Linked DNA regions of Drosophila melanogaster. The protein of the gene in region 3 interacts with the protein of the main gene of each other region in a pairwise test. Each region holds a gene or a part of one and is shown on either strand. Other genes may lie near its edges.

What was found.
Region 1: the proteins of CG5890 (region 3) and Fkbp14 interact in a two-hybrid assay, tested with the Drosophila melanogaster proteins (one large-scale study listed by BioGRID).
Region 2: the proteins of CG5890 (region 3) and Cp7Fc interact in a two-hybrid assay, tested with the Drosophila melanogaster proteins (one large-scale study listed by BioGRID).
Region 4: the proteins of CG5890 (region 3) and Shal interact in a two-hybrid assay, tested with the Drosophila melanogaster proteins (one large-scale study listed by BioGRID).

What each region holds. Positions count from the first base shown.
Region 1 is NT_033778.4:21,493,202-21,501,113, forward strand, and holds the start of Fkbp14 (FK506-binding protein 14), read right to left. Parts: upstream 4,010-7,912; 5' UTR 3,863-4,009; intron 3,574-3,862; exon of another isoform or gene 3,432-3,573; intron 2,324-3,431; exon of another isoform or gene 2,126-2,323; 5' UTR 2,124-2,125; coding exon 1,930-2,123; intron 1-1,929. Other genes in the region: CG46395 (uncharacterized protein), read left to right, coding at 5,430-5,612; TAF1C-like (TATA box-binding protein-associated factor RNA polymerase I subunit C-like), read right to left, coding at 5,816-7,912.
Region 2 is NC_004354.4:8,473,760-8,480,297, reverse strand, and holds Cp7Fc (chorion protein c at 7F), read right to left. Parts: upstream 3,182-6,538; 5' UTR 3,172-3,181; coding exon 3,103-3,171; intron 3,031-3,102; coding exon 2,134-3,030; 3' UTR 1,978-2,133; downstream 1-1,977. Other genes in the region: Cp36 (chorion protein 36), read right to left, coding at 1-804, 894-941; Cp7Fb (chorion protein b at 7F), read right to left, coding at 4,780-5,954, 6,097-6,424.
Region 3 is NT_033777.3:25,852,916-25,860,977, reverse strand, and holds the start of CG5890 (uncharacterized protein), read right to left. Parts: upstream 4,825-8,062; 5' UTR 4,005-4,824; intron 1-4,004. Other genes in the region: CG5886 (uncharacterized protein), read right to left, coding at 7,234-8,062.
Region 4 is NT_037436.4:19,579,817-19,587,854, reverse strand, and holds the start of Shal (shaker cognate l), read left to right. Parts: upstream 1-3,286; 5' UTR 3,287-3,533; exon of another isoform or gene 3,534-3,544; intron 3,545-8,038. Other genes in the region: CG9330 (uncharacterized protein), read right to left, coding at 34-681, 740-963, 1,064-1,320, 1,386-1,473; CG9231 (uncharacterized protein), read left to right, coding at 1,940-2,106, 2,171-2,381. UniProt on the Drosophila melanogaster protein: Mediates the voltage-dependent potassium ion permeability of excitable membranes.

The DNA.
Region 1 (7,912 bases), on a different chromosome or scaffold from region 3:
TCCATTTTAATATCAATTAAGCACGTATAGTCGTATATTCGTTTTCCGTTTCCCTATGCTTGTGTGCTTAGGACAGTTTTTCATTTTGATTGGCATTTCAATAAGAAATTCCATCGACAAACCCGTCAAAAGCAGAACAAAATCTTCGTACTTATCTCTCTCTCAAGGAGCATCGCATCTTCGTTTTAAACCCATTTTTTCAGGTGCTCTGCCGGCAAAAGCTTAATTATAGCCAAGTGAAGCTGGCTTTCAGCCAGCTAATTTCCGCTGCAAGGCGGAGACTGTTTGGCCAAAAGCCGAAGCCGAAAATGGCAGAAGGAGCTGTGTTCGCAGCTTGAGGCTGAAAAGCAAGAAGTGGCTGAAAAGGATTTCTCGCACAAGGCGAACAGAAGATGGCGAATGAGGAGGACGCCTGTCGACATCCTTGACTGCACTTGACTGGCACAAAGTGCCTTGTTTGTTAGCCAACTTCGAGGGCATTTAAGCCGCAGCGCAACAGGTGGCAGGCCAGAGAGAAAAACGGCAAAGACGGGGACGCACTCTGATTGAGTTAGTTAGTTGGCCAACTCCGCCATTCCTGCCTCACAGAGACTTTGCCACGCCAAATTTAACAGCAATTGCGAAACTTTTAAGCCCCGAAAGAGACGAATTGCAACTTCCACATAATTTGCAACCAAAATTTGTCTACCAAAACTCAAGGTAAGTGAAAGGACACAACATGTCCAATGAGATGGATGGGAAAATGAAATGTTTTCCCTTTTTAGCATATGACAAAACGGGTTAAGCCGGGGCAATTTGAAATACTTGGGGTCAGTCAGACGTTTATAAAATCGTTTCCCCTGCGAGAAACACAATTTTCTGGTCGTAAAATTAAATCAAAATTTGATAACTGAGAGAGAGAGTGGTGGAGTAATGCCCTCACACTCAACGTATATTTTATTTATATGCAATCAACGGACAATATATCAGTTTAGTTAATCTAGTTGAGGTCGCTTATCGACAAGTTTTTGCCCCAGCTGATATTTATAAAACACTGATAATGAGTTTTACCGCTTGCCAAACGGTTACACAAAGATTTTTTGTTTGCCTGGTGGCAAACAACCCACTTTGGGGTGTTAATTAGCCGCACATGTGAAATAATTTGGTTATCCTTTAAATTTAATTGGTTTTTTGTATGGCTATCTGGGCTGGGAGCTCAAGTTTCGCTGTGGCTTTTATTTACAGGATTTATTACAAGAAAGTCAAAGGTTGAATATGAGAAAGAATATTTGAGATAAGAAAATAAGTAGCGCCTTATCATTTTCTTTAATTGAAACTACTGCTTAAGAGCTAACTATAGTTTGAAAACAAATTGTTTATGGGTAATATTTTTAAATGGTTTTTAAGAATCTTATTTGTACCGGAAAACGATTTCTTTGCTTAATGAAGCCAAAAATTGAGGGCCGCGTCACTATAAACGCCCATAACCCACAGAAAAATGAAACAAAAAGCGGGAAAATGGGTTTGAGTTTGAGTTTGGGTTGCAGGAAGAAGGGGGGCATTCAGGCATGGAAAATGCACCAGCAGCACAAGCAAAAAACAACAACAACAGCGTCAGCGACAATGCAACAATGAGATCGCTTATCAGTTGGCGTCTAATTTACGGCAATGAGCCGCCGCGACGACAGACTGACTATGCAGCACCAGCAGCTTTAATCCCATACGGAAAACACATGTATCTGCGAGTATGTTAATCTGCATCTCCAATGGATGCGTGTGTGTGGAGATTACGGACAGCATCGGCTTTAAAAATATTTCATCCTGAACTCTCTGACATTCTGCCGAAGTTTTTGGGGCAATGTGAAATAATCACTTTAGCATGGGATTTAGCTTAGTTCATTGATAACAAAGTGTGCCTATTTTAGTTTTGTACACTTTAAGATCACTCACCTCGAGTCGAATTTCTTGCCATCGGCCTGCAGAGTTCCAGTGTAGTGCATGGTGAGGGAATCGCCGTTCTTGGACTTTTGTTCGCACACCTCCGGCGTGCTGATCACCTCCACTTTCAGATCCTGAGCCCGGACCAGGCTGTTGCTGATGGCCACCAGCAGAAGGCACGAGATAACGAGATTGGATTTCGACATGGCTGCAAGATAAATGGGCAAACTTGATTACCACAAAACGTAAGAGACTTTCAAAAAAAGGGGAACGTGTTTATGCACTCGACTACAAGGAGTATAGTAAACCTTATAAAGAGTTTAAGATTTGCTAATCCTTAAAATTAACTGAGTTCGAACTACAGACGATAAGATCCACTAACTCGAAACTAAACCGAAGCACCAATGTCTTGCTCGGATTGATGTTCATCACTTTTATACACACAGATTCATCATCACTATCATCTACTCGCCATCATCTTCGTTTTAATCGCGTATTAGCGTTGCACAAGCGTTAAATGATGAATTTAAGCCAATTACCCGGAGAGGTGTAACAGTTGTTTGCTCAACAGTGTAAAGTTGAAATTGAAATCGTATGGATGGCGAGGGGTATTCGCAGCGATTGCGAATGGGATGCGCGAACAGCAAAAATTAGTCATTATGCAAATGTGCAATTCATTTTCGAGTGGGGAACCGAATTCGACCAACCAACCAGCTTTGACCATCTCGACCAGCTGGAGGGGATTATGCAAGCCAAGACCCAAAGCCAAGCGAAATTATTGCGCGTACGCGGTGGCGTATGCGTAATGACCATCGTAGTCATTTCCAATGGGATATGTTGGTGGGTGTTTCTGGTTAAATGAAAGTTTTGAAAGCGCCTAGGTCACCCAAATATAAAAAAAAAGAAGCGAAAAAAATTCGAATAGCCGTAAAATAAAAAAACTAATAAGGCAAACAAAAAATAAAATATGGTGGGTCTTTATATAGTCGGAAAACTTTCACTAATGGAAAGGCAATGGTCAAGCCTCAATTACGTGAAATCGGCATTAACATCTCTTGATCTTCCTCTTCAACTGCTCTCTTTCGCTTCTGCTTCTTTTTCCTTATACAGTGAAATCTCAGAGACATGAACACACATATGCCTTACTTTTTTGCTTAAGCTTGAAAATGATTAATTACACTAATAAGTTCATATGCTATGATATGCAATTGTTACAGTTAAGACCAAGCTGAAGCCAGAAAATCCACAGATTTAGGGACTAGAAATACTTCAAATACTATAAATAGATAAGACGAGATGGCCTCCTGTGGCTAATAATCCTAAAATCACATTTTCAAATATATTTCAAAATCTTTTTTTTCAGAAGCCGCTTCACTGTACTGAGCGTCCACTTTTTGGCCTTAAAACCTGTTGGGCGATCCAGCTTCTTCGTTTACACACGTATCTTTTTGTTTCAGCTTTTTTTTTGTGTGTCTTTTATGAAAGGTTCAGTGAACTGGCGGTACGAAGTTTACCGTAAGCGATCCAATTTACAGACCGGCGCTAAATGTTTCGGAAAATCTTTTCCTAAGCGACACGTCAGGAGTTTTCCTCTTATTTCGAATCAGAAATGCTAATTGCTGACCCGAGCCGATCTTTAGCAACAAAAGCAAGAGCAAATGACCGGCGATATTTTTTTATTTTTATTTTCATGGACTTGTAGCGATAAGCTCTCTTTCTCCTCCTCCATCATTCGGTTTTCTTGGGGCGTATGTGTGTGTATATATATTTATTTGTGTATGCATGTGTGATGGCGTGGACTGAATATGAATGGAAGAGACACGACAGCAATGGCAAAGTACACGCTTTCTTTCGATTTCTCGATTTTCATTTCTTAATGAGCACATTTCCAAGATGTTTACGCTAAGCCAAGCACACGATTTACGATCTGATATCTGTAATATACCTTTGGTCTTCCACAGACGGATATCACTCGATTCCGGCGAAGGGGCGGGGGCGGATGCGGCGGGCGAACAACAGAAAACACGCGAGCAAACGGCGGATGTGAAGTGCAAACACGTCCGATTCGATCGAAGTGCGGGCGAGAAATGCTGGAACCGAAGCCGCCGACGTTGTTTTACTAACCGCTACTTCTACACTCAGAAACATTTTTGTGGCACTTTGCAAGTTAGACCAGATTATTTTGTAGTTTAGTTTAAAATCTTATTTATATATATTGCATTCCTCCAAGTTTTTCATAAGATTATAGTTTTTTTTGTATTTCAATGTTTTTTTCATTATATTCCCTATCTTTTTTTTGGGTGCACCCCTATATAAAAAGAGTGGAAATCTTCAGAGAGACCCGGAAAGTGTGAGCGGGAGGAGGCGGGGGATCGTGATCCACCACCATCCACACGTGTAAGAGTACGAGAGAGAGTGAAAGATCGTGTTTTTGTAGAGCCAAAAGAGATTCACATACTGTGGGAACGCGATCCACAATACGGGGGGCAGAATAAGAGAGAGCACTTGTCCACGTAATCAAGCAGAAACTTGTTCAGGAGCGGATCAGGCGGACTTAGGTTAAGACACAATCAAAGGTGTTCCTTATCCCAAATAAATTAGTTAATATGTAAGATTAATTTTTTAAAATTTAACTTTAAATTTATGATTAATCAGAACTTACAGGAACAATGTAATACCGAAATGTATTCCAAAAAGTTATTCATTTTTTATTAAGCTAATAATCGTTTTGAAAAATGTAACAAAAACGAAAAATATATGGAACACGAAGGACACACAACCTATTCAAGCAATTGCTCAAGTTTAACTAAAAGGAGTTTCCAAAGAATATGCCGTAGTCTACATGTTGCTGGCATCAAAGTTTAAGCAACATTATGCCTCGCCTACTTTTTCTAGTGCGCAGGCGCCTCTTTTATTTTATTTGTGGGTGGAGCCTGATAAAGAGTTAATTTAATGATTGGCGAATTAAATTCGGCAAAATTATGTGACATTTTCTTTTGTTTTCATACTCTAATTTAATTTATTACAGTTTATTTTTAAACCGTGCTTGATAATTTTGTACACTGGTAGATTAATACGATACGATATAATGAAAACGATTAATATTAAGTGTGCACATATGTTGTCAAAATCAATTTAAAAATTTTTTAATTCCCAATAAATTTTTGGAGCTGAGCTTCAGCATTGTATCTGTGAATATGCCAATGTTCCCGTCAATAGCATTCAATAGTTCGCTGCATTTAGTTCAAGATAATCTTTTCCAACTAAAAGCTTTGGATGCTCAGCTCAACCGAGCTTAGCTTAAACTAAACTAAGCATATATTCTATCTATGGCCACTCCTATGGAATTGTCACCCTTGGCTCGTTTACGCCCCACTGAGCGCCGACGAGCGATAGATAGATCGAATCAATCAATTAAATGCAAACTGCCCAAATTAATTGAAAATCAGTCGAAATCTGAGGCACTCTCTAAACGGTCGTGTGGCGTGTTGGAAAAAAAAGGGCGAAATATAATGCTGCACGGCGATCAAGATAAGCCCAAAATGGCAAAACGATCTGTGGGATACGCCCTCAAACGCAGGAATGATCGTTTTGTGGTCGAGCCCATCGAGGGAATCGTGAATCCAGCCTACGAACCCGATCTTGGTGGAGATACATCCTCAACCAGTGACATCAATCGAAAATGGCAAGTATAACAAGCAATAAAGTTTTCGGGATGGGCTAATGTGAAGTGTGTGTTGTGTTATTCAAATTATTGCAATCGAATAAAAAATAAAAAACATTTAATATTGTTGGCAGAAATCTAAATTCTAAATCTACTTACTTCTATTTAATATACTTTATAATCTGCTATTTATTTTTGTTAAATTTAAATTAAGGTTAACAACTCTAACTTAAGCTAGAAACCCTTTACGTGTTTAACCTTGGGCCTCTTAGCTGGCGGGGCACAGGGATAGTCCTCGATGATAGTATTCTGGCCGGGCAGCAAGATAGAATACTCGCGGCCAAATTCAACAGGCGATTCCTTTTTGGGACTCAAAAGGCGCTCTCCGATGTCCTGATCGGAATTAAGGGCTGGAATGACTGAATAGTTCGCTGTAGTGGCGCCATATAGCTTTGGTAGACTTGTACCGGGAACCATGTCGGGATTTCCCTCGGTCACCTCGTCCTCAGTGGGTACCACTGTCTGACTGGGCAATTGTTCCAACCAATTGGCCATGCGTTGTTCAGGTTCCAGCTCCTTCCCCTTTATACGCTCATCGAACATTTCTCTTGTTACGTCTCGTGTGGTGTCGTACTCCTCCATATCCCACACGTCCAGCAAACGGGTCGACATCATGTCCGTGTAGTGGGACAGCTTGTAAGCGGATTTCTGCCAGGGACCGCGACTGATGCTCTTCTGCTTTTTAACATTTCTCTTACTGGCAGCTTTCCTTTTGGGTTGCCGTTTTGGTTTCACCTTGGTTTTTTTCTTAGGCGTTTTCTTACCACCTTTCTTGGATTCCGAAGGTTCTTCCTTTACCTTTTCAGAGGCTGGGCTTTCATCTTCTGAAACATCAGTATCTTCTATGCCATAGTCAATTTCGATTTCCTCTACGATTAAAGGTTTTTCTTCAGGTTTTGATCTTTTGGCACCATCTCGAAAGATGTCTCTTATCTCTGGTATCGACTGGACTTGTGTGCAGCGGATGTTCTCGCGTTGGACGCGCTCATTAACGGCATTGGCAAGGTAGCGAATGGCTTCCGTTGTATGAGTTCCGGTTCTGATCTGCTGGACATGCTCCTCTTCATCCCTAAGCGTTAGTCTTTGGCAGTAAACATCTCCCAAGCTGTTGGAGGTTAGCAACTGGGTAAAAGCTTGATCACTGGCCCCCTCTAAGCCAATAAAGCGCATTCCTGTAATGCAGGTCGTTACCCGCTCTGCTATATCAGCATAGACATCCACAAATCCTCCCAAGCGAGCATCTATTAAAGCTTCTTCCAGGGTTACCGGCGCAAATGGTATTGCCGGCGAGAACATTTCATCGACACTTTTTGCCTGAGCTCCTTGCAGTTCACAAATTCGCAAATCTTTGGGTAAGAGTCCACCTAACGCAATATATTCACTGTCCTGGTGAACGCTTGTGTCAATAAAACAGGGTGGATAGGTCATCTGATGCGTCCAGGTGACGACAGCTCGATCGGTCAGCTTTTTACCCAAGCATCTGATATCCAAACAGTGGAAGTTGTGATTACTAGCCACATACAAGAGATTAGGATTCACACCCTTGGCCAAACAAGAGAACCTCTCGCAAGCTTTTGAGTGAACGCCGCTGGCAAAGCAGGGATTCAGAGGCAGATTGCATCGCACATCTACGGTAAACAAAACTGGCTGTGTTAGGCAGTGAAAGGTGCTTTCCTCTGCTTGCTTTAACTGTGCCCAGGTACTCGAGGTTTTCTTCAGTCCTTTTAGCAAGCAAACATCAAGCTTGGCTATATCCTGTTGTGTCGAAATATCCACGAAGCGCAAAGACCTATCCTGGCTAGCTAAGGCCAATGTATTGGCATTGGCCAATGATTGTGCAGCGCTTGTAAAAGGAGCTACTTGACTGCTAAACATGCAATGGCGAATGAGTTCGTAATCTGAATCCGAATCCTGTTCGTCTTTGCATTTAAGTTCGTATAGGGAAACCTCCTTCAGCAACCGTGCCAGGAACATTTGACTGCGATTTAAATTGTGGAGCGGAAGAAGTTCAAAGACTTCGCTGGAGGATTCCTCTATCGTAGCCGAATGCAATGGTTGCCAAAACTCCGCCTCACCATAATCTCGGGAAAAGTGCAAATCTCTGAGCTTATTACCGCTGACATGCATGGCCAGCTGATCGTTTCCATCAAACGGAATCGTGTTTAGGTTTCCGCCTGTGTAGTAGTAATCGTAGCTGTCCCTGAAGAAGGAATTCTCCTGTTGGGCTATGTGCTCAGCCATCTCAAACAGACTGGCATCGTGTACACCTTG
Region 2 (6,538 bases), on a different chromosome or scaffold from region 3:
GTAGTTGGGCTGGCCATAGGGCGCGGGGCTGTTGTACAGTGGAGCCTCGTTGCCGTAGGCATTGCCATCGGCAGAGGAGGCGGCACCGGCGGCGGAGGAAGCAGCTCCGGCACTACCATAACCCTGGGGCTGGCTGTACTCCCTGGGCTGGCTGTAGACGGGTGCAACCACCGGGGCCAGTGGAGCCTCGATCTTCTTGCCGGGCTTGTAGACCTTCACGTAGACGGGGTTGAGGCTCAGCGGAGTGGGCACCTTGTTGATCACCTCCTGTTGGTAGATGACCGAGGGCTTGATCTTGTAGATCACCGGATTGCCGCGCACCACAGTCGGTGGGCCGCTGTTCACATGGGCTGGTGGTGCACCAGGCTGGTGGACAATGATTGGTGGCAGGGGCTGGGTGGCGATCACCTGGTGATTGTTGTGGCCCGATGGCACCAACAGGGAGCGGAACAGATGCTGGTCAACGAACTGTGGCGACACCACCTTGATCTTGCCCTGACGGATATTGCTGGCCAGATTGGTCTCGGCCAGAGATTCGGCAATATCCTCGGAGTTCTTCAGCTTCTGGTAGTTGGGATCGGCATTGAGGGCCTGAAGTTGGGCCTGGACGCGACCCAAACGACGGGCCTCCTCCGGCGTGGGCTGGATCTCGGCCTGTGAGGCGATCTGATTGGCAGCCTGCTGGTTGCCACCAGACGCCACATTCACGTACTCCTCGAGTCCGGCATTGGGACCGGACAGGTACTGTCCATGTCCATGTCCGTGTCCGTGTCCGCCAGCGGGACCATAGTTAGCGCTCACCAGCTAATGAGGAGGAGGTAAGAGAGAGAGAGAGAGAGTTTGCGAGATTAGCGGGATGCCCAATGCGAATGCCATGGATAAAAGCTACTAACCGGCGTGGCGGCGATGGCCAAAATGCCAAACCAGAGACCGAGTTGCATGTTGCCGTTTACGTGTGGATCGTCTACTGCTCGCTGTCTGGCGATGACTCCGGCTCTTTATAGCGCCTATAATCGCTGCCCGCCATGGCCGGCTACGTGATCCATCTCCATTTCCGATTTTGCGCCGCATCTTTGTCTCGCCATCGTGCCCAGATCTCTAGACAACCAACCTCCTATGCACCTATGCACCGTGGTGCACCACTCTGCTTTCCGCTCGTCGCAATCTTCTATTTTTTGGCAGTTGTTTCCCTTGGCTTGAATCATAGCTCTTCCAAAGATCGAATATGATGCCAACGCTACGAGAGTCTCGTTTTGGTTGCCTTGTTGCGATGATTACAGCTGTGCTGCAATCTCTCTGCAATCCTTTGGGTTTGAAGTTAATATCCTTTATATGTTTTTACATTGCATTTTAACTTGGGACTTATACTGAAATGTGTACATAAACATGCCCTGCAGCAATGTTTTTTTTTAATCACCCAAATTTAAAGATGTTATCTATAAACTGATAAATATCTTACGCTCGAGATATATGAATAGATAATTTTTGTAAAAATTTCCGAGAAAGATATACCATGTAAACCATATTAGCAGATTATATTAGATATATAAGTACATTTATAACCGCATTCAATTCGATGCAGTTTTAAGCTTTAAGTTTGTGTTTATTAGCCATATAATTAAATTCAAAGGTATTAAAGACATTTAAGTTATTCCTCTTAAAAGGCATCTTTATTTTTAAAAATAAAATGCAACATTCTTATATTTTATGATTTTCGGTGGATTGTTTCGTCTCAATGTGAAATACAGTATCTTATATTTAAATCATTTGTTATACCTAAACTTATATAAACATTGTTACTAAAAACCTGAGCAATGAAAGTTAAATTGTTGATTCAATTTAAACTTGTAGAGTAGTGTATTATGAGTCACTGAAATTTTTTTCTTGATAAGCTCTTAATTCAATTCAAACACAACAAATTTTTGTATATATATATATTTTTTTTGTATTAATTTTATTATTTTTTTTAATAATTTCCTTAATCTCAGTGTTTGTGTAGTTCGTGTTGTGTGTAATGTGTTGGCGTGTGTGTATGTGTGGTGTGTGGTGTATGGTGTGGCTCAGTCCCATTTATAGAACTCAATGGTCTGGAGACCGCAAGTCTTTGGTTTGACGTGGACATGGATTTAGCTTCTAGAGACCCCGCTTATAAAGAAGGTAGGTGAGATCTCGTGCTGGTCGACTGCCGTAGTCATTGAAGGGTGATTTGAAGTTGAGCTGACCGCCAAAGGAGTCAAACTCCTCCTCGTGATGTTGTCGATCCTCTCCAGCTGATTTCATTGGCGAGGGATTCGATTGCTCGGCGTGCAGCTGATCTTCGCTAGAGTTGATAATATAACTCTGCGGCTTGTAGTTCTGCTGCCCATAATTCTGAGGCATTGCATACGTGTTTCTGTGCGGTGTGTGCTGTGGGTATTGTGGTTGTGGTTGTGGTTGCGGTTGCAGTTGTGGTTGTGGTGCATAGTGTTGTGCATGCTGTTGGGCATAGTTATAGCGTTGCTGGGCAGGATGCGATTGCTGGGTCTGCTGATGGATGAGATACTGCTGTTTCATGGCCATGGCTCGATTGTCGAAACCCTGACGATAAGCTGGACGCGATTGGTGTGGCGCAGGTAGAGGAGATGGAGGCTGGACTGCGCTGCCAGGTCGTTCGGCCCCCGGTAAATACTCGTGATGCACCTCCTCGTGGACACCGTTCTGGGTCCGGTTAATCAGGCGATTGTACTCTTCGTTGGTGCCGCCCACCTGCAGATGGATGGCATGTTTGAAGTCATCGCCCAGATGCTTTAGCCAAAAGCTTTCGTCCACTTCGCCGGTGGTGTAGATTCTCGTGGTCTGTCCACTTCTGGGCTTGCCCATCACCGTACCGGTAGCTGTGGCCACATCGATCACATCGTACTGCTCCCGATCACCCTTATCGTATGGCTCAACGCGAGCAGCCAAGCGATTGGTGGTCTCTTCCAGCGGCGCACCCGGAGTTGTGCTCACATTGTATTCCTCATCGGGGCCGGGCGTGGATTCACTTAGATTCTGAACGAATAATGAAGAATATACAAGCATTATTTATTTATTGTATAAACGGAGTGTATATAATGAACCCACCTCAGCGTGAATAATGGCCTGTGTTGAGACCAACAAGAGTAGTATAGGCCAACTGCCGTCGGCTGCCATTTCGACTGAGGGCCCCGGCTCCCATGGAATCCATTTAAATACCCACAAAAGTAGCTCGATTCGGTTAAAAAATAAAATGGCGTGCCGGGACGTGATCTATAACCAGATATGCCATATTCACTATTCACTAAATGTCTCATCCACGAATCTCCAGCGATCTTGATGCGTCAGAGAGAAGAAAAAAAACAAAAAAAAAAAAAAAAAAAAACTGTGAGAAACACCAAGCCAGGGTCATTCGAATTCTTTGGCACTAGTCAATGGGTTCGCTTGCAATAATTTAACGATACTTTAGTTGGTTTTTTAATGGGTGTATGTGCCATTAATTGGATGCTGTAAAACATTGTTGACATGCCGAGAATTACAAGGTCTTGGGATTACATCGCATTCGATTCTACAAAAATCGCACAATAAACTATGTTACTAAACACCCTACTTCTTTAATCAAAGGATAAGTGAGTAAGTCTGCCTGACATATTTTATAAAATTCTAGTCTGAAACGATAGATTAATAACCAGTTATTGCATTTTGCATACTATACATTATTTATTATTACTTAGTACCTATGAATCTTGAGTATTCTTCTAGAAATGTTTTGCTCTTATGGTCACGAAGTTCAGTGAGTTTTTTGTGGCTTTCGGTTGCGAGTATCTTTTGGCTTTTCAATAGTATGCAATCGCAAGAATTTTGTCGCTGAATGATGAACCACCACCACCATTTGTTTATGTAGAACAATAAATATTTGGCCATTAACAGATCGTGATCGTATGCAAATAAATCATATATATTATATATACTGGCTCTTTAATGATAAGTGAGCTTACTAAGACTAACGACTAAGACTAAAAAACAGAAGAATTGTGTTAGGTAAATAAATGCTAAAACCCTTAATTATTTATCAAAGTAATATGCCATTAGGCTATTATAATATTTGAAATGCTTAGGATTAAGAGCTGTTCATTTCGGTGGGCATACTTTTAGGGGTATCATATAGCTAGCTCTTTCTATGCCAAAGGTGCACCCAATGGAACCCCAAATCATCGAATCGAGCACATTTTAATCAGGCAAACACTTTATTAACCAGTTAATTGGGGCAACTTCTTGAAGTGCCGACAAAAGCGGAAAACGTAAACAGAAATCGGAGGTTGGATTCATAACTTCTATAGTACACGTAGATACATATATATATATATATATGTACATATATACAAGCGAATGGAGACCCGAAAGCGGAGTGCTCCACTGGCCTACTTTCGGCTGGATTTTAAGCCGAGCTCAGCAGATCGATGGGTTGGGTTGGGTTGGGTTGCATTCGGTTTGGAGTTTTGGTTTGGGTTTCGGTTTTGATATTGTTGGTTTATATGTAAGATCTCTCTTCAGTAGCCGTAGCCCGCGTCTTCGCCGTAGCTGCAAAGAGAAGAAAGACGAAGACGTTGGGTGAATAAAGAAAGAAACACCACAATGTATTTTCAATTTATTATATTCTGTTTTTTTTTTGTCTTTTGTTTTTCTTTTTGTTTACTTTTCGTCTATGATTTTCTCTGTTTTTTTTTTTTTTTCGTTTAAACTAAGTTCTAAACACTATGTATTTTATGTTGGTTAGATTGGGCACTAGAACCAGGCCCTCAGGTAATCCGTAATGGGTGGCGCATTATAGGTGTCTATACTGTAGCCATTTTGGGTTTGGCTATTATAGCCATAGGTCTTCGCGGGTTGTGTGGAGTAATCATTGTGTAAACTGTGCTCGGTTTCCGATCCCTGATCGAAACCCCAGCCGCCCAGCCGGCCATCGATGAGTTTCTTGAGAAAATCCGTCGTCTGTTGCTTTTGAATTGGCTCCGGATCGACCAGACTGCCCTCGGTGGAGTAATGATCGTAGGCAGGATGATTGTACACTATCCCGGAGATAATGCTGTCCAGTTGGGAGTCGGAGACATGCTCCACGGGATAGCCACCGCCGAGACTCGTTAGTGGTACACCATAGGATCTTCTTGTAACCGATTCCAAATCACCGGCAAACTGTAACGGCGTGGAGCTATACTCCTGCGGATCCGGCACAGAAGTGGTGGACAACAGGCTCCTAAGCTGCGAATCATCCACGAACTTGTAGTCCTCCCGACGGCCCAATGGCGAGGGAATCTGCAGGGGATAGTAACCATAGGCGGCCCTCTTGGCGGGAATCGAGTTGAGCTGCTCTGGCGGTTCCGTTTGCACAGGCTGCGTCGTTTGAGGCACTTGCTCCTCCTTGGGCATTGGCTCTTCTGGTGGTGGTGCCGATGCTGTCATCGCTCCACAGCCCACGTGACACTGACCGGGCCTAAAGTCCGGATTCAGAGTCTCGGGCATAAACTGGATTATTTCCGGCGCAGTCAGATCTATCTGGGATCGTTCTTGTTCGAGCAGATCAAACTCTCCCTTAATATCTCGCTTTTTCAAACGCCTTCCCAATCCCATCCAGCTCGGCTGGGTTTTCTTCGTCTTTCTCTTGGTTTTGGGTGCGGCAGCCACTGACTCTGGTGATTCCACGGGAAAGAGGCCAAAAAGTTTAAGCTGATGCTTCTCCTGCGCAGGAGTCAAATCCTTGTGATAGAGCTTCACAAAGCGTGGCGGACGCTCCTGGATCTTTTGTTGGCGCATTAGCCGACGGCGGAGCAGTGAACCTGGCTGGCGAACATCCCGGCGACGACGAATGGCATTCGGCGACCTGACCGGTGAAGCTACGTACCTGGGTTTTTGGCCGGAGCAACTCGAGCAGCCGCATGTTGACTTGTTCTTGGCCTGGCAATCTGTATAATATAAATCATAGATAAAGTTGTTAGAGGAAAACATGGAGAAACATGTATATAGAGAAATGTCCGCCCAAGAGAGAGAACTGTCCGCTTAAGAGAAGTTTTTCATGAAATCATTGGTTGTTTTGTTTGCACTTACCCGCTTTGTTGACTGTGATCCGGTCCACCTTGGCATACAGCTTGGCGGGATTGTTCTTGGGCGGCGCCGGTGTCCTCGGCTGCTCCACAGTGAAGTCAAAGCTGTAGGTAATCTTGGCTTTCGTCTGGACGGGCTTCTCCACCCGATAGCCGTACTCGCCACCGACATACTTCTTTGGCTTTGGGGTATTGGGCACATTTAGCTGGTAACCCAGTTGGGTGGGACAGGCGCAACTTTCGCCCGTGTAGACGACCTCAACGGGAGCGGCGTGGATCAGTGCTACGAGCAGCAGGCCCAGAATCGGGATCATTGCCATGGAGTATCGCATCTCGGTTAGATCTTCTCGGTTGTCTGCCTTGCTGGCTACTAGCCGCAGAATGTATTGTCACATTCTTTATATCATCTCGGCCAGCACGCGGACCCCAATGGTCTTGACTTTGGG
Region 3 (8,062 bases):
ATGCCGAGATATGTTCATGAACTTATTGCTGCGTGGGTGTATGAGCCGCGAGTCTTGCCAGGATTGGTTTAATTTATGAGCTGACTTAATTTATTTCCGCCAAGGACAAGTCAAATTCGATCGAAACAAGTTAAATTGGCTTACACAACATAATTGCTTAGAAGTGGCATAATTTGTCTCCTTATATCCGTTAAACTTGTCAAAAAGTAGTCGAAATTTTTGTGATTCATTTTTAGATACTTCTACTTGCCAACTCTTAAAACATTACGAATATTCAGAACTATAGTTACCCGCCGCACTCAAAAACCAATTACATATTTGGGAATTTGTTTTCTCAACTTAACGTTGTTCTGCGAAAAATCCACTACATAACAAACTTTTTTTCTTCTTCCTCAACATTTGTTGTTCGCCATGGACATGAAAATCTACAAGAACAATATACCGACCAAATAATATAAAAATGTTGCCAAAAACAAGAACAACGGGCCACAAGAGCAACAAAAACAATGGCAATGGCAATAAAAAGAAACATTCAACTCTCGCAACTCATACAACTTGTCAGAAAACAGAGAGAGAAAGTGAAAAGCGTGGAAACTGCCCAAATTGGGGGGAAAATTCCGAAAAGTATGCAATATTTTTTTCCAGTTGGTCCTTCAACTTTTCGTGGCTCGTTGCTGACTTGGCAGGCCCGACATAGTAATTAATGCCTGTAAGTGGTCCGCGTGGGTGGCTGAGCATAGTTGTTGCCACTCTTTTTAATAGGCTACTTCAAAAAACCTAGTGTATGATTTAACTATGGAAGGAATGTTTATTATAGTATGGTTATACGAAAAAAAGATTTGTTTCAAGAATGGAATCATTTTGTTTTTATAGATAGAGAAATACCGGGTATGTGATAGTCGAGACCTGCACGAGCTATCTACTCATCAGCAGAGTGCTTGGACTTGGCTTGTTAATTGCATGTTACCAACATATGTTCGCTTGTAAATGTGGATTTCCGCCCATCCCCCAGTGGGGCAATTAAAAAATGTTACCAAAATGCTCGGCTGCAAAGACATTTAACTTTTCTGAAATTGCGGGTAATTTCGTTTCGTTTCGTTCTTTTCTTTCTTGCTTTCCATCGGATGTTTGTAACACATGGCGTATGTGTGTTACGGCTACAGGCGCTAACTTTCGGACAAACTTTGCTCTTATCAGCTGGTGATAAAAATATAAGAGGGAAACAAAGAAAGAAAAAAATTGGAAAAACCTCCGTAAAATGAATGTTCGTATGGGATGAATGGGGATGTGCAAGTTTTATAGACACATCTGGCGGTTGGCTATATAAATTTCAAGTTTGTTGCTGTTTGAAAGCTAAACGATTCCTTTTTTTCCTAGCTGTTGCATATGTGTGTATGTAGCACACCCGATGCCTGCACACGCATGTTTTATGGCTTTAACCATGGGAGGAGGAGTATTTTTTTCCACGATAAGTTGACCATTAATGGTCGCCAAATGCTAGCAAATTGATGTTCACGCTGGGAATGGCTTGCGGTTGCCTTTGGTGGCATAAAATGCTTACATATACATATTTAAAGCCCTTTAAATGGTTCGTGGTTATATTATGTACGAAGAAAATATAACACAATAATATTTAACGCAAATGTATGGTTTCACTTAAAAAAAGTTAAATGCGAACAACACTTTTGGTATTTTATTATAATATTCTTTGGTAACTTGATACTTGTGTGGCCTTTGGTGCAAGTTACTTAACTGAAAGTCAGTTCGTTTGAACAGGCTTAATTATTCAACGAGGTCTGGACGTTTGGCGATTGTCACGCCCTTTGCTCATTACTCACTTAGGCCAAGACAATATCATTCGATTGGGCCAGTAATTACCAGTGTCATTGAATGGCCCACACATCTAACACCCAAAGTGATTAGGCACTTTATAGCCGAAAAGCGTTGAATCACTTTGCAGCTCACAGCTGCGGTTCTCGTTTGGTATTGCCTTGCGTGTCTTTGCGTTTTCCTTAGAGTTTCCTTTTGGCCAAGGCCAAGGTGTTTTGACCTTTAACCGGTAAGTAATAGTGCCCAGATGTGCTGCACAAAATGTTTAAATTTAACATATATCATCTACCAATATTTATTTTGTGTGCTGTCATCGATGCTCATTCCAATAATTGAATATTTGAATGATCAGCCATTATATGGCGTCCACTCACCAGGTTTTTATTATATTTTATTTTATTTTTTACAGTTTCCAAGTTCATTTTTTCAATGTTGGCTCGTGTGAATTTTATTTATAACTTTTCTATTTACAGTTTCGTGTAGCATACATCCCGGCGACCGCCCCTTTGCCCCGCATTCACCCACTTGCAAAACAACAGCAGCCACTTTTATGTAGGCTCTGTACCTGTATCTGTGTGTGCGCCGTGTGTGTGAGTGGGGATGTCTCTGTGTGTGGATGAATGAAACTAGAGCGCACCTTGATTCTATTTTTAAATGCCACACAAAACAACAATTGTCGCTTAGTTGCGCGTTAAGTGTTTTTCATCCAGCTTCCCGCGACCAAGTTCATTTTATTCTTAGGATGCAGATGCAGCTTTTCTCGGCTAGAAGCACTTAAAATAGTTGGCCAGGGATTATATAAATAGATGACAGCGAATTTAGTTTGGCAAGGACCTTGTCGTGTAAAATCGCTTAAAATATATATATTAAATCTCCATATATTTGATTAATTACATAATGTGATTTACACTACTTGAAGTTACTTTTCAAATCGGTGAAATTAGATTACAATATGACCAAATCAATCACGAATCAATGTCGCACGAGTTGGAAAACTATGCCAAGTTGACTTTTTAATCGGCTTGTGCATCTAAATGGAATTGGCATTTATTTTATGGTTTATTGCCAAGCGGCACGATAGTTGCTTTTGTTGCTTATCAATTGTTGCGCACAACTTTTGTTTGTTTGTTTCCTTTTAACAGCTTGTCACGGATTAAATGACACGGAAATTGGGTTGAATAATGGGAATTTTTAATGACGCAATTTAAACGCCATGTAAAAAGAGTTTTACCACTTCTGGGAATAATTCATTTTGTAATATTGTTAAAGAAAATAAAACAAACAAATCGTATACTCAAGGAATATGTTAGTATATTCGATTCTCACCCATATATTACCGCAATGCTAAAAAATAACATATGTAAAGCTTCACTATTTTGGAAAATTATAAACAAGTTGTCGACACTTCTGCCAAAAGTTAAAAATATGTATGAACAATTTAATATATTTTCACAGTGCCGTAAACAGTAAACAATTGCAGCCAGGTGCGTCTTCAAACACAGATTCTTATTTGTTTAAATAAATATGAAAATTAACATTTCAATAGTAAATCGAAGCCTCACATCCAATTTTAAATATAATCTCACAAAAATACTCTTTGATGCGTTTTTTAAACATTTTCATTATTTTCCTCAATTATTGAATGAAAAACCTGGCACAGCTCAAACTTCAAATAGAGCCCATAAATATTTTCCATAATTTTGCGAAAAATAAACAAAATATTCCAGACTGTTTTTTCGCATTTTTCAAGGTGAGTGTGTGAATTTTCACTAGCCTGCGTGTGTGTGTGTGTGGGTGCCTCTGCGAAAATGCGATGGTGTGCGTGCGTGCGACTTTGGCGCCTAGTCAAATAAATCGCATGCGATTAAAATTTTATACAAATAGCTTTAGAAGCGTGCGTTTTGCTTTGTTGTGTTTCATTTGCCGTGCCATTTCCACCTTTTCACTGTTTGTTTTCCATTTTTTTTTTTTCATTTCTAGTCTTAAGCTGCGTTGTTTTTGGTTTTTTTATGGGGGCATGGCGTCAGTTAAATGAGTTGTTGTTTATAGTTCTTGAGCATGTGTGCGAAAAATTTGCATTTGTAGCGTAACGCTTTTGTTTACTTTGTAGGTTAGTTTGTTGGCCCATTGACTTATATACACACACTCGGCTAAAATATAACATATATATTTACCTTCGATGCCTTTTGATGGTGACGGCAGCAGCGGCGGCGGCGGCGGCAGCAGCGGCGTTGACGAAGAAAGCGGCGAAAGCAGACGGAGAAATTGGCCAAAACGGAGATGAGGGAGGTAGGAGGAGTTGGTGATGGCTGATGGTTGAGATGGGTGGTAGTGGGCGGTTGGGTGGTGGTGGGTGGTATTAACCTCAAAGCATGTCAGCAAACAGCTCCTCGAAAGCACTTGACTTGACTCCTTTCGATATTTATATTTTCCTGCCCTCCTTTGCGTGCCTCGTTTTAATTTGTTAATGATTTGGGCTTATTCATTTATTTGCATTATTTGGCGCTCACTCTTCCTAACTCTGCTTATTTGGTGTTATGTTACATTTTAGCAAAACTTGCGGTCCTGTCTCAACGATTGTTGTTGCTGTGCGGAAAATGCCAAGCAGCAAATGTAGCACGAGCAGCAGCAGCGGAAAAAGAAACAAGAGGAAAAACTGTATCTTTTAGATCCGGGCATATCCTTTATCTCGAACAGCGACTGCGACGCTGGCTGAGGCAGCAGCTGTAGCTGTAGCTGGAAAATTTCCTCCAACTTGTTTGTCTAACTCTCGCGTTGCTTTTCAAAACGATGTTTTAGCATTTAAGTTAAATTTAAAGCTGCAAGCTGCAATGATACAGCAGCAACAATCGTTTCCATATATAAAATCCAGCAAAAGAAGAACTCGATAGCAGCAAAAACCGCGCAGCGTTTTCCCCGTTTACCGTTTCGCCGTCAGACACACACTTTTCCCACAAATAAAGCCAGAAACCGTTCGACGCGCGCACGCGAGTGTCCTATACACAACTGATTACAGGACTGCGAAAATGGAAAATGTTTGCCAGCAGCGACGCTTCGGCATTCGGTTTTCCCTCGCTCGGAAAATCTCCGGCTATCGCAGCCAGGCTTCTGTTGCCGAAATATCCGGAGCCACTCCGCCGGAGACGGAGAGCGAGTTCGCCGGAGAGTGGGTGCGCACTCACTTGGGTTGCGGGCGGCACATAGGGTATAGCATAGCCCTCGGCGGTTACAGTGGACTAAGTAGCCACATAACGCATATAATTAGTTTGAATTGTAATAATATTGGAAGAGCTGTTTTAAATGGCAAATATATTTACTTGACTGACAACGTGGCGTATGAGTAATTTTTAAAATATGTTACTAATGAAAGACAGCCTGTTTGTGACATTTAAATTCATGACAACTATTATTATATTGTATATTATAATAAAATAATTATTATTTTATTATAAATGATTTTGGATAAGAGAAGGAAATATTTATTTACAAAATCTAGAAATTGTTGAATTTATATCTCGCACATAAGAAGTACTGCTGAAAGCATCTTTAAGATAGTTATGAATCTTCCAACACCCTTGAAAGTAGCCCACTGTGCAAGCAACACTCATATTCCTCATTCATCTTGCTCAGCCCGCACAATTGGCTGCCAAAAGTATTGCCACACCAGTGTCGGCGACTTCGTCCTTTCACTTGAACGCCAAAAGTGAGGCAGTCTGGCAGCCTCTACTTTTCTGGTCCTGGTCCCCAGTGAGGGTCTTCTTCTGTTACGCTGCTGTTATCCTGCAGACCGCGAGGGTCCTGAGAAATGACACCCATGAGTTCAGGATGAATACGACGCCACGACAGCCAACCAATCCTCCATTTCGCACATATGTACATATGTACATACATCGCACATACCTATAGTGTACATATGTATGTACATATGCTCGTCTGTTGGACATTTGCACTGTTTTTTTTATACCAACGAACGGACGCGTAGGGTTTACAGCCAAATGACAAGTGCTTAGTGTTTTGCATATGCGTGTGTGCGTACACTGAGAAAAATTTAGTTTTATTTTTTTGATCTTTTATTCGTATATAATTCTCATAAATAACTCGAAATTATTTTATTTCACATATCTTACAAACTAAATGTATATTATTAAAAAATAAACACATTTCTATTAAGTTGATGAAAAATTTTTCAGTGCTGGATTTAGCGGCTTGATACCCCCATTCTCATTATTCAAGCTGGAAAATGGGCAGCTCGGGGATGGGGACAAGTGTTTGAAGCACTTGGCGCACGCTTGAGCGGCTTTCAAATTTAGCGTATTAACTCATTAAATGTTCAAAAGCTCATTGCCTGCGAAATGTGCACACATTTCTGTGAATGCGAGCGAGGGTGTGAAATATGCACAAGTATGACACTTTGGCACCGAGGGGAAGACAGTTTTAATACCGCTTAATGGGCAATCGGGCGGAAGAAGCTTGAAATAAATAGAATTCCCTATACTCCTAACAATATCAAAATTTTTAATTAAATTTCTAATGACCATGGAAGAACGCTCGGGGACCTAACAATATAGGGTACAGTACATAAAACATGCTGTGAAAAAAGGGGTAAAAACAGTTGTTGCCTTGAGAGCTGGCATAATTAGTCCTTCTTTCGTATGCACCTCTTTATGCAATTTAAATTAATTTGTGTAATTATTTTAGTGACTTAACTGGCCTTATTTCAACACCCTCGCCCGCACCGAGTGACCGCTGGCAGCAGTTGGCGTTACGCATACGCCACGTTGCATGCGTCTTAAATATTTGATGGCGGAAATCTGGGGCCCGGCAAAAATGACAGCTGCGTGTTGAAAATAATTAAGGCGCAATTATAATGACCCTGGCCACGAACCGCAGGCACTCACCACTCATCACCACCGTTGAAGCCACCCCCATCCGTTCGCCTGTTGGCATTGCAATGTGTTGCATGCAACACTAGACTTTGTGGCGTCGCCAACAATGACGAAAGCAATCCATGGCCATCGAGCTTGTGCGCTCTGGCAGTTTCCCATTCCACTCCACTTATGCAAATTGATGCGAAATGTGGGCTAAGATTTATGCTTAAATCTTTTGGAAGGACATTCTGCAAATATTTACCCAAAGAAATAATTTTAATATTCTTATTCTGTTTGCAGGAAACACGTTTTACTCAATTTGTTGTTGAACAGCAATACACGATCACCGACGACATCCTTTAAATAAATACAATATACAAAGTACAATAAATAACTAGTACAAAATTCGGACCATGTAGGTTTGTAATTGATGACGTTTTTCAGTTGAGACATGGATGACACAAAATGCTTTGCAGGGAAGGCTTGGTGGCCGCCCGAGATTTGGAGATGGGACTATAGGCGAACAGTCAGTAGTTTAGTTGGCATTGGCATCGATTAGGGGAGGCACTTCGGATATATCAACAAGTGACTTTGCGGTGATAGCGTCGCCATCACCTACGAGCTCCTGGGTGTCTGTCGCAATGTCAACGGTCTGCTCCTTTTCGTTCTTAACGTTTGAGGCATCACCCGCTGCCTCTAGCTCGGCCTTTGACTCCGTTGCGGCTGATTCCTGAACGCCGTTCGCCTCACCGTTCGTTGTGGATGCTGCAGCTTCCGCCGCCGCTGCAGCTGCTGCCTTTGCCTTGGACTTTTTCTCCTTCTTGCGTATATTCTTCTTGGCATTGTTCGCCTGACGCTGCTCCTCGGCCTTCTTCTTTTCCTCAATGGAAGTCTTCGATTCATTCGTCGTTAGCAGCTTCATTTGGTTCTGCAGATTTGCCAATGTTTGCTTCAGTTCCGCACAATTGCGAGACATCATTTCCATTTTAACATTTTCAGCACTAACTGGCTTGACGTTTACTGGCTCTGGTTCAGGAGGCAACTGCGGCAGGGCGGGTATTTCGATCTCGTGATCCCGCAGGCACTTGTGCAGTGTTGTCCTCTCCAGCTGTAGAGCACGCAGTAGCTTCTGCAGCTGCTGTATTTGCTTCTGCAGGCGCTCTGAGTGCTGCGTCTGCAGACTCTTTTCTGTGGCTAAATCGATCACCATGGCATTAGCTTTCTCGTACTTTTGCCGCCAGCCCAGCGCCTCCTTCTCGATCTTCTTAGTGTGCTTGGACATCTTCTCAAGCTCCACCTTGTAGCTGCCGAAAACCTCATTGGACTTCTGCAGCGACTGCTGGAAGTCATCGTACTTGGCGGTG
Region 4 (8,038 bases), on a different chromosome or scaffold from region 3:
ATTAGGCTACATTTTGTAATTTGTAATAGTTACTTGTATGCCTCCAGTTCCTGGGAATGTAGGTGAATAATGTCTGTCGGCACCGTGTCCAGGAAGTTGCGATCGTGAGAAACTACCAGAATGGTGGTGGCCCATGTCTGCAGATAGTTTTCCAGCCAAATAATGGCTTTGATGTCTAACATGTTCGTCGGCTCATCGAGCAGTAACAGATCGGGTTTTGAGAACAGTGCCCTGGCCAAAGCAAGACGCATGCGCCAGCCGCCTGAGAAGGATTTAGTTGGACGCAGCTGCATATCTGCATCGAATCCCAAGCCCTTAAGTATCACAGATGCGCGGGCCACAGCCTTGTCCGCCTCGATGTTCTGCAGAGAGGCGTAGGTCTCGCTCAGCTCATTGGACAGCGTCGCATCCTGAACTCCATTGTTAAGGGCAGCCAGAATCTCCTTCTCGCGGGTCAGAAGTCTCGTTCGCTCAGTATCACATTCCAGCACACTCTCCACTGCTGGTGTGTCATCGCCAACCACCTCCTGCTCCACGTGCAGCACCGATATGTGCGAAGGGATCTGTAGCTGTCGCTCGGCAATCATGCGGAGCAGTGTAGTCTTGCCCAGGCCATTGCGTCCCACCAGACCATAGCGGCGTCCGTAAGACAGCAGCAGATTCGCATTCTGCAGAAGAACTCTAAATGGAATTAACAATAATTTTCGGTTGCTCAATTTCGACAGTTAGGTTGCCTCACTTTTCGCCAAAAGCCAGGTCAAAGTTTTCGATCTTGATGTCCATGGATCGGTTAAGACCTTTCTGATCCAGCTTGGTGTTCTTCTTGTTGGTCACCTGTGAGGCTGTGGCCGTTTGTAGCTTCACCGCAACAGGAATCATACCATGTTTGTTCACCTCCTGCCGTTTCTCCTGCTTCTGCTGCAGCTTGGCCTCCGCCTTTCCTAGTTTCTTGGAGTCCACTTTCTGTTAAAATAAGAATAGTTTAGTTGTTATTTAATGAAAGTCGTATTGATGGCGCCGTTCATTCAGTTTATTGGAGTGGTTCGTCAAGGGGAACACTTACATTGGCGCCATCTTTGTTGGCCACCCAGATGCTTTGCATATCCTTGTCCAGCCGCTCCATGTTCTTGGCCATCTCCTCGATGTTGACCGGCGCGTTGAGAACCTTTCGCTCCACGTTGACCTCGTTGTTCTTCATGATGTTGAGGAACTGCTCGCAAAGCGTACGTACACTCTCCTCCGACCTATCACAGTCGACGCTCTGCAGGATGTCGCCCACCGCTTCGAAGATGTCATCGCCGCTTTCGAAGTCCTCCTCGCCTGGCAATTGGAATTTGTGTGCGGGGTAAAGAATAAAAGATCACAGGCTAGTGCAAGGCACTTACTTCCGGTGAGCACGCCAACGACATAGGTGAGCAGCTCGTGGTCGATTTTGGGAAACTCGCGCTGCAGAATGCTTGTGTACTCGCTCATCTTGACCTTGATCGCAAATTCGCTTTCTGGACGTGTGGCAGTCGGCTTTTAATTGACTTTTCCGACTTTTATTCCACCGCAAACGAAAACTAAAGGGGATAGCAGAGTGACCGTTGCTGGGTCGACTAAGCATATTTCAGAGATGGTCACACTGCTTTACTTCTAATATTTTTCCCTACTATATATTTTTAAATATCAGATTTATTTTTTCCAGCAGTTTTAGCACCATCAAAATTTCACCTGATTAACAAAGAATTTCCAGTTTAGTTTAGTTTGTTGTTCATTTTTTCAATCACTTCATTGTACAGTGTGAACGTCTCTCAGGGTGACCAAAGAAATCCCAGCTGTTTTCACAGTTATCGACCGTGTGACAGCTCTGTTATGTTAGCAACCACTGTTAATCGAATTGCATAAAATTCCAATTCTCTTTTGCAAGATTACTTGTGAAACGATTAAAAAAGGCAATATGCTAAGCAAAACGGGGTTAATTGGCGCCTTGGTGCGTAGATCCTTCGGCACCAGTCAGATGTTGCGAGAGACGATCAAGAACCACGAGCCAAACAATCTGGAGCGCCGTATGTTGGTTTGGACCGGCAAATACAAGTCGCAGTCCGAGATTCCCAATTTCGTTAGGTAAGTGCCGATTCTTAGAGAGCAAATGCAACAGGTGTCTAAGTTTTGGTGTCAAAACTTGCAGTCAGGATGTCATGGAGCGCTGCCGCAACAAAATGCGCATCCGCCTGGCCAACATAATGATCGCACTCACCGCCGTGGGATGCGCCATTATGGTGTACAGTGGCAAGCAGGCCGCCAAGAAAGGAGAATCCGTCACAAAGATGAATCTCGAGTGGCACAAACAGTTTAATGACTCTCAGCAGAGCGAAGGATCTGCTCCGGCCGCCAAATAGAAAATCACTCCGAAATCCCTCACTCGCCTAGTAATATTAGAACTGGCCAGGCTTCCATTTTCACTTCCAAAGAAGATTGGCTAAAACTGGCCTTAAAAGATTTTGCTAATAATCAGTTGGTCTGAAGATTGTTGAAAATTTTTCTTTTTAAATTTAGATTTTTATTTTTGATTTGAATGTGTGCGTTCAACTAAAAAAATTCATAATTATCCCAATTGGCCCATAAACTATGGAATGGAAAATGTTTGCAGGGCCAAATCTTTAGTGAATTTTTTGGCTTGGAAAGCACTTTGCCATAAGCATGTGTACAAGCCGTGTCCTTGATAGATATTCAGTGATATTTGTAATGTTGTATTATCAAAAATAAAACATATTTATTGCAAATCATGTTTGGGTGCGCTGGGTGAACCAAATTAATATTAAGATTTGGTCATGTTTTTATAAATAAATTATAAATTAACTATAATTAATTAAACTATACATTTTGGAGATACAATTCGGTTTCAAGTAACTTTCTTTTTCGATTATATTCGATTCAAAACAGTATAAAGGTTTGCTAAGTGTGGGTAACAGGTAAGGGGCTAATAAACTATAGATCCTGTGAAAAATGCATGGCTATCGACTGCGACTGAATTGTGATATCCTTGATATGAATCCATTGATATGTGGTATTAGCCATAAATATTTGATCATAGTTCATTCGGAAGGCAACATGAACATCTGTTTCGATTCTGCATCGTCTTCAGAGGCCAGTGGCCACCACTTGCTCGTCGAAGTGCGCCGACGCCGTGAGCATCTCGCTGCTGTCCCGGATTCTGGTTCGGATTTGGGTTCGGACTCGCATGCTCCGAGTGAAACTACCGACTGTCGGAGGCGCTGGCGCTTTTGCATTTACTTTTCACTTTCAGTTTGTCGAAAACTGTTTGTCTGAACGCCCCCAAGAAAACGCCGAGCGGAGCAAAAAGCGGGACGCAGTTTGGGCCAAGTTTTTTGTGGCCCCCGTGCGTGCAGAAAAGGCTGAAAAAGTGTCAGAAAAATTGTTTTTCCAAAAACAGACAGGGGCCAGCATCGAATTTCCCGGATCGAAAGCGTGGAAAATGTACACGCAGTAGTGCGGAAAATGTGCGGCTAACGAAAGGAGGAACGGATGAGGTGGGAAAAGTGTAAGAGGCGAGAAGTGTAAAATGCAATAAAACGAAAGGCGTGCGTATGTATGTGTAAACAGTTTTCCCCAATTTCCCAGCGAAATGCGGGCAGATGATGGACGATAGTCAACAGGAGTATAAAAAGCAATTGTTTAATCAAACATCAGCGAAAGCAGATTGCCTTCCCAGAAAATCCATAAAAAATGAGAGATTTTCCCTGTCTGTCTCTCTTGTTCATTTGTGTGTATGTGTGTGTGTGGGAGTGTGTTTCTCTGTGTACGGGTTTGTGTGGCAATATTCGTTTGCTTTTTTGATTTGTGAAAATGTGTGTATCCGCGAATGTTGCTGTTGTTGTTGTTGTTGTTTTTGTTGTTGCTGTAGCGCTCGTTCTCTCAGCAACAACAACAGCCGTAAAAAATAACAGAAAACCAGAGGGAAAATAAGTGTGGAAAATTCACATCTAGTTCAAACCGCCCATATCCTTGCCATGCGGTTAGCTCATTTTAAAACACGCTTTTTAAGTGCACCTTATGGCGTGCCTGCAGCCCAACAACAAGTTGTTTTTTCTGCATAGTTGGCCTATTTAAATCGACAATCGCCTCAGCCCCCCTCTCCACACACGCACCACCCACTCAGGGTATTAATTTGACCAGCGGGCCAGCGAAAATAGAGAAACAACATAACACGTTAAAAAAGCGTTAGGCACACAAAATATATAACGGTCGGTCCCACGAAAGTGAAGGTCGTCTGTAGGAGAGAAAGAGAGAGCGAGGCAGCCAGGAGCAAACAGGACACTGGGAAAAATCGTTGCTTTCCGATATTTCTTTAAAAATTCCTTCAAAGCATAACAATAATTCCTTTAAAATTTATTTTTACTGTTAGCCAGATTGTAGTGCTCCCATTTACATTTTACTTACATATGAACATAGTTTTTTTGTAGTATTTCTCTCATTCAAATATAATCATATAACTTATAGGGATTTTGATGTGTTTCTTAACAATAAATTTCTTATCTTATAAATAAACCCAACATTTGAAAATGTTGAAGTAGAATCCCGGAATTGGATTGCAACCTAACATTTATTTTCCCGATATTAATGAGTATAATAATGCAGATATCAAATTTATGTACTATCCTTTTGCCCAGTGCAGCTGCAGTCCATTTGTTGGCGTAAATGTGTGAAAAATCCTTGGCTTGGTTTTTGGCGCAATAACAAAGCTGCACTAATACCAGCATCACCGATGCAAGCGCACACACACACAAAGGCTTTATCTCTCTTCTATGTGTGTGTGTGTCTCTTTGATGACGCGCTTAAAGCAGCAGAGGCAGCGCAGTTGCAGCGCAGTTGCAGAGCAGCTGCCGCACATCCAGTAGTTGTTGTTTTGTTATCATTGGTTTAAAATTACACTTTTATTGCAGCTTAATGCACATGGACACCGTAATGCGGTTCTTTTATTACCTCACCTCAAATCGATGGGGTTGATCTTAATAGAAATAAGTGCTTTTACTCTTGAAGATCTTAGTAATAATTATCACGAATATCCTGTAGTATTGAAGATTTTTTGTTTCGACCGCAAATTATTTTGCTACCCCTGGTTGTATCTCTATACATATATCTCTTACACCCCAATAAGCACATATAGTACACAATCCCGTACGTGGTCACAGTTGTACGCGTATTTATACGCAGATATAAACACATTTTACGCATGAAAAGGCTTAGCGGGCCTACATAAATTACGCCATTGGCCACATCCAACCAAGCAACCACCACCCCATCGCTGTTAGCCGCACCATCCACCCAGTGCGACCCAGGATTTGGCTCTTTGGGCCACTTGCACGTCCACTGGACGCCCCGCATCATCACATCCCTTTGAACCGCTCTTGGTGTCCTGCTTGCCATGGCCATCAGGACGAAAGTTTTTCGGTGCTAGTGGTGGTGGATTCGCTACATTGCAGCTCTTCCAGCTGACGATGTTGGCCAACTGATAAGCACGACTCTATAAAGTTTTAATGTCTTTTGCAATTAATGCGAACAACGGCGGAAACTCCAAAGTTTCATCCTTGAACATCCCGAATCCCAACATTTTCTTATATTGTGTAAGCTATGAATTTGAGAAAAACTTTAACGGTTGAGAAGTATACGTATTGTATAATGATTACATAGATATCACACAAATGATGTGGGTATAATAATAAAAGGTAATAGCCAAAATAACAAGTGTAAGGATCAAATAGTTGAATATGGAATACATGTTATTTTGATTCAGTTTTTCCAAGTGCACGTGCCATTGAGTTTACCAGTTTCCAGCAACCCTTGCTTCTTCTTGTTGCTGCCCAGACTTGTTTCGGAACATGAAATTTAAATAATAAATCACCTTGAAATCGAATTGCTGTCGACGCATTCGGCCTTTTCTTGTATTGTCCTCTGGCACAACATGACGTATGGGCAATGCTTGAATTAATAATAAGCATACGCAGTGTGTTGCGGCTACATAAAAATTAATATGCGAAGGATGCTGAAAGCTGGTCAATATTTTTCTTGCCAATGCAAACAAATATTGTTGAAATTATTTTACTCCGTTTCCAAATTGAGATGATTTTAATTGTCCATGCATCAGTTGGCGAATAATTAAATGCATTTAATGCATGCCTTTGTTTGAATTTATAGCCAACATCGCGATGTTTATGATTCAATTACAAATTTATGTTTTTTAAATAATTATTGCAATCGGCTATTAAGATATGTGAAAGATTTTCTGTCCATGTGCAAATTTAATCCGAATAATTGTTTTCAAAAGCAACAAATTTGATTATGATTCGATGTTTTAATATTATTATAATAATAACATAAGCATAATTAGCTTACCCGTTGGCAATGATAAATCTGCTGACCCAAAATGCAGTGCACTGGGTGTGGGATCAATATTGCAGCAGAGATATTTATAGAGCTCTGACGATTGAAAATAAATCGTGTATAAAACCGATTTAATTTTCATGGGGGGAAAAGGTGCCACTAATGCGAATTAGTTTCTTTGAAATGCTTGCCAAATAGACACCTTACTCGAGGAGACACCTTCAATTTTGTTCCTAGTGGGAGGATACATAAAACCCTACTTAAGCGCGGCGACACACTCACGGGCAAAAGTGAAAAGTACAAGGAAAATTAGAAAATCTTTACAGGTCCCAGAGACAAATGGCGAAATGTTTTTTGATGTTGGGCCGACGGCGAGGGCAAAGGCCCTCCTCATCCCCAAATCCAAACACCAACCCAAACCCGAATCCGAACCAATCCCAGTCCGGATCCCACAGCCTAAGCCGAACGCTAGCCCGAAACCGAAACCGAGACCCACATCCTTAGCCCGTATCCAAAGCCCAAGGGTCCTATGAGCAGGCGCAGAGAAAATGAGACTCTCACCCACTCTCCCTTTCTCACATTCTCCCATTCTCTCGTTCTCTCGCGCTTCTCTGCTCAGTAGTACATATTTCTCATTTTTCATTAAGCCGATGGAACAAATTTAAAAAGAACGAAAAAACTAATTGTAAACAAAAGAAAATCATCGCGGGGAAATGTGGGAAATTCGAAGCAGTTGGGAAAACACCGAGTATTTTTGGTCCGGTCAGGAGGTTGTTGTGATGCCTCAAAAATAGTCCAAACAACAACAACAACCAACTAAACACGTAAACATTGTTAACTTATTGTCAATAAAAATACAAAACTGAAATGCCCACCAGGCTATAAAATTGCCTTTATGATCTGGAAACGCGTCCATTTCTTTTTGATTCGCATTTTGCCTCAAAGTTGCAGTTGTGTTCAACCTGCCCGCCGTTTCCACCCCCCGCCCCCCTCGATTTTCGCGAAAATGACTTCCGCTTCGAGAGGGCTAAAAAGAGAAAGTCAAAGTCGAGCCGCCATAATAAGGCGGGCCCACGCAATGGCTGCGATGGAAAATTCACAGGATTTCCGTAGATTTCTCGTGTGCTCCGCACATTAATGCCTAACTAGCATTTGGGTCCCGCAAATTGAATGGAACGGTCTCGAGGGCCGAGTGGGTGGTCCCGGTCCGCCTGCCTGTTTGTACTTTATAATAAACAAAAAACAAATAATAAACATTAAAAAAACGGGCAGTCAGGAAACACAAACAGGGGTGGAAAAAAAAGGAATGCGATGCTGATATGCCCTGAAAGCAACATTAATAGATAATAATTGCGGAGGCTCCGAGGTGTAAATTGATATGGCTATTCCCATGCTGAAGGTCAGAAAAGTATGCTATATTTATGCTGAGCACTGTGCCATGATGGTGGTACCTTTGTATATAGAAGAAATCTTAAATTATTATTATTTGCTAAAACAAAACAATTAATTATGTTAAATTGCTTATAAATTGTTTTGGAATAATAAGCTACAATATCCTTTAAAACCAATTTTTAAATCATAATAAAGTCCAACAGACGGCTTGTTGGTTTATTTTCAATAGAAAATCTGATTCGATATATCTTCGCATTACTAA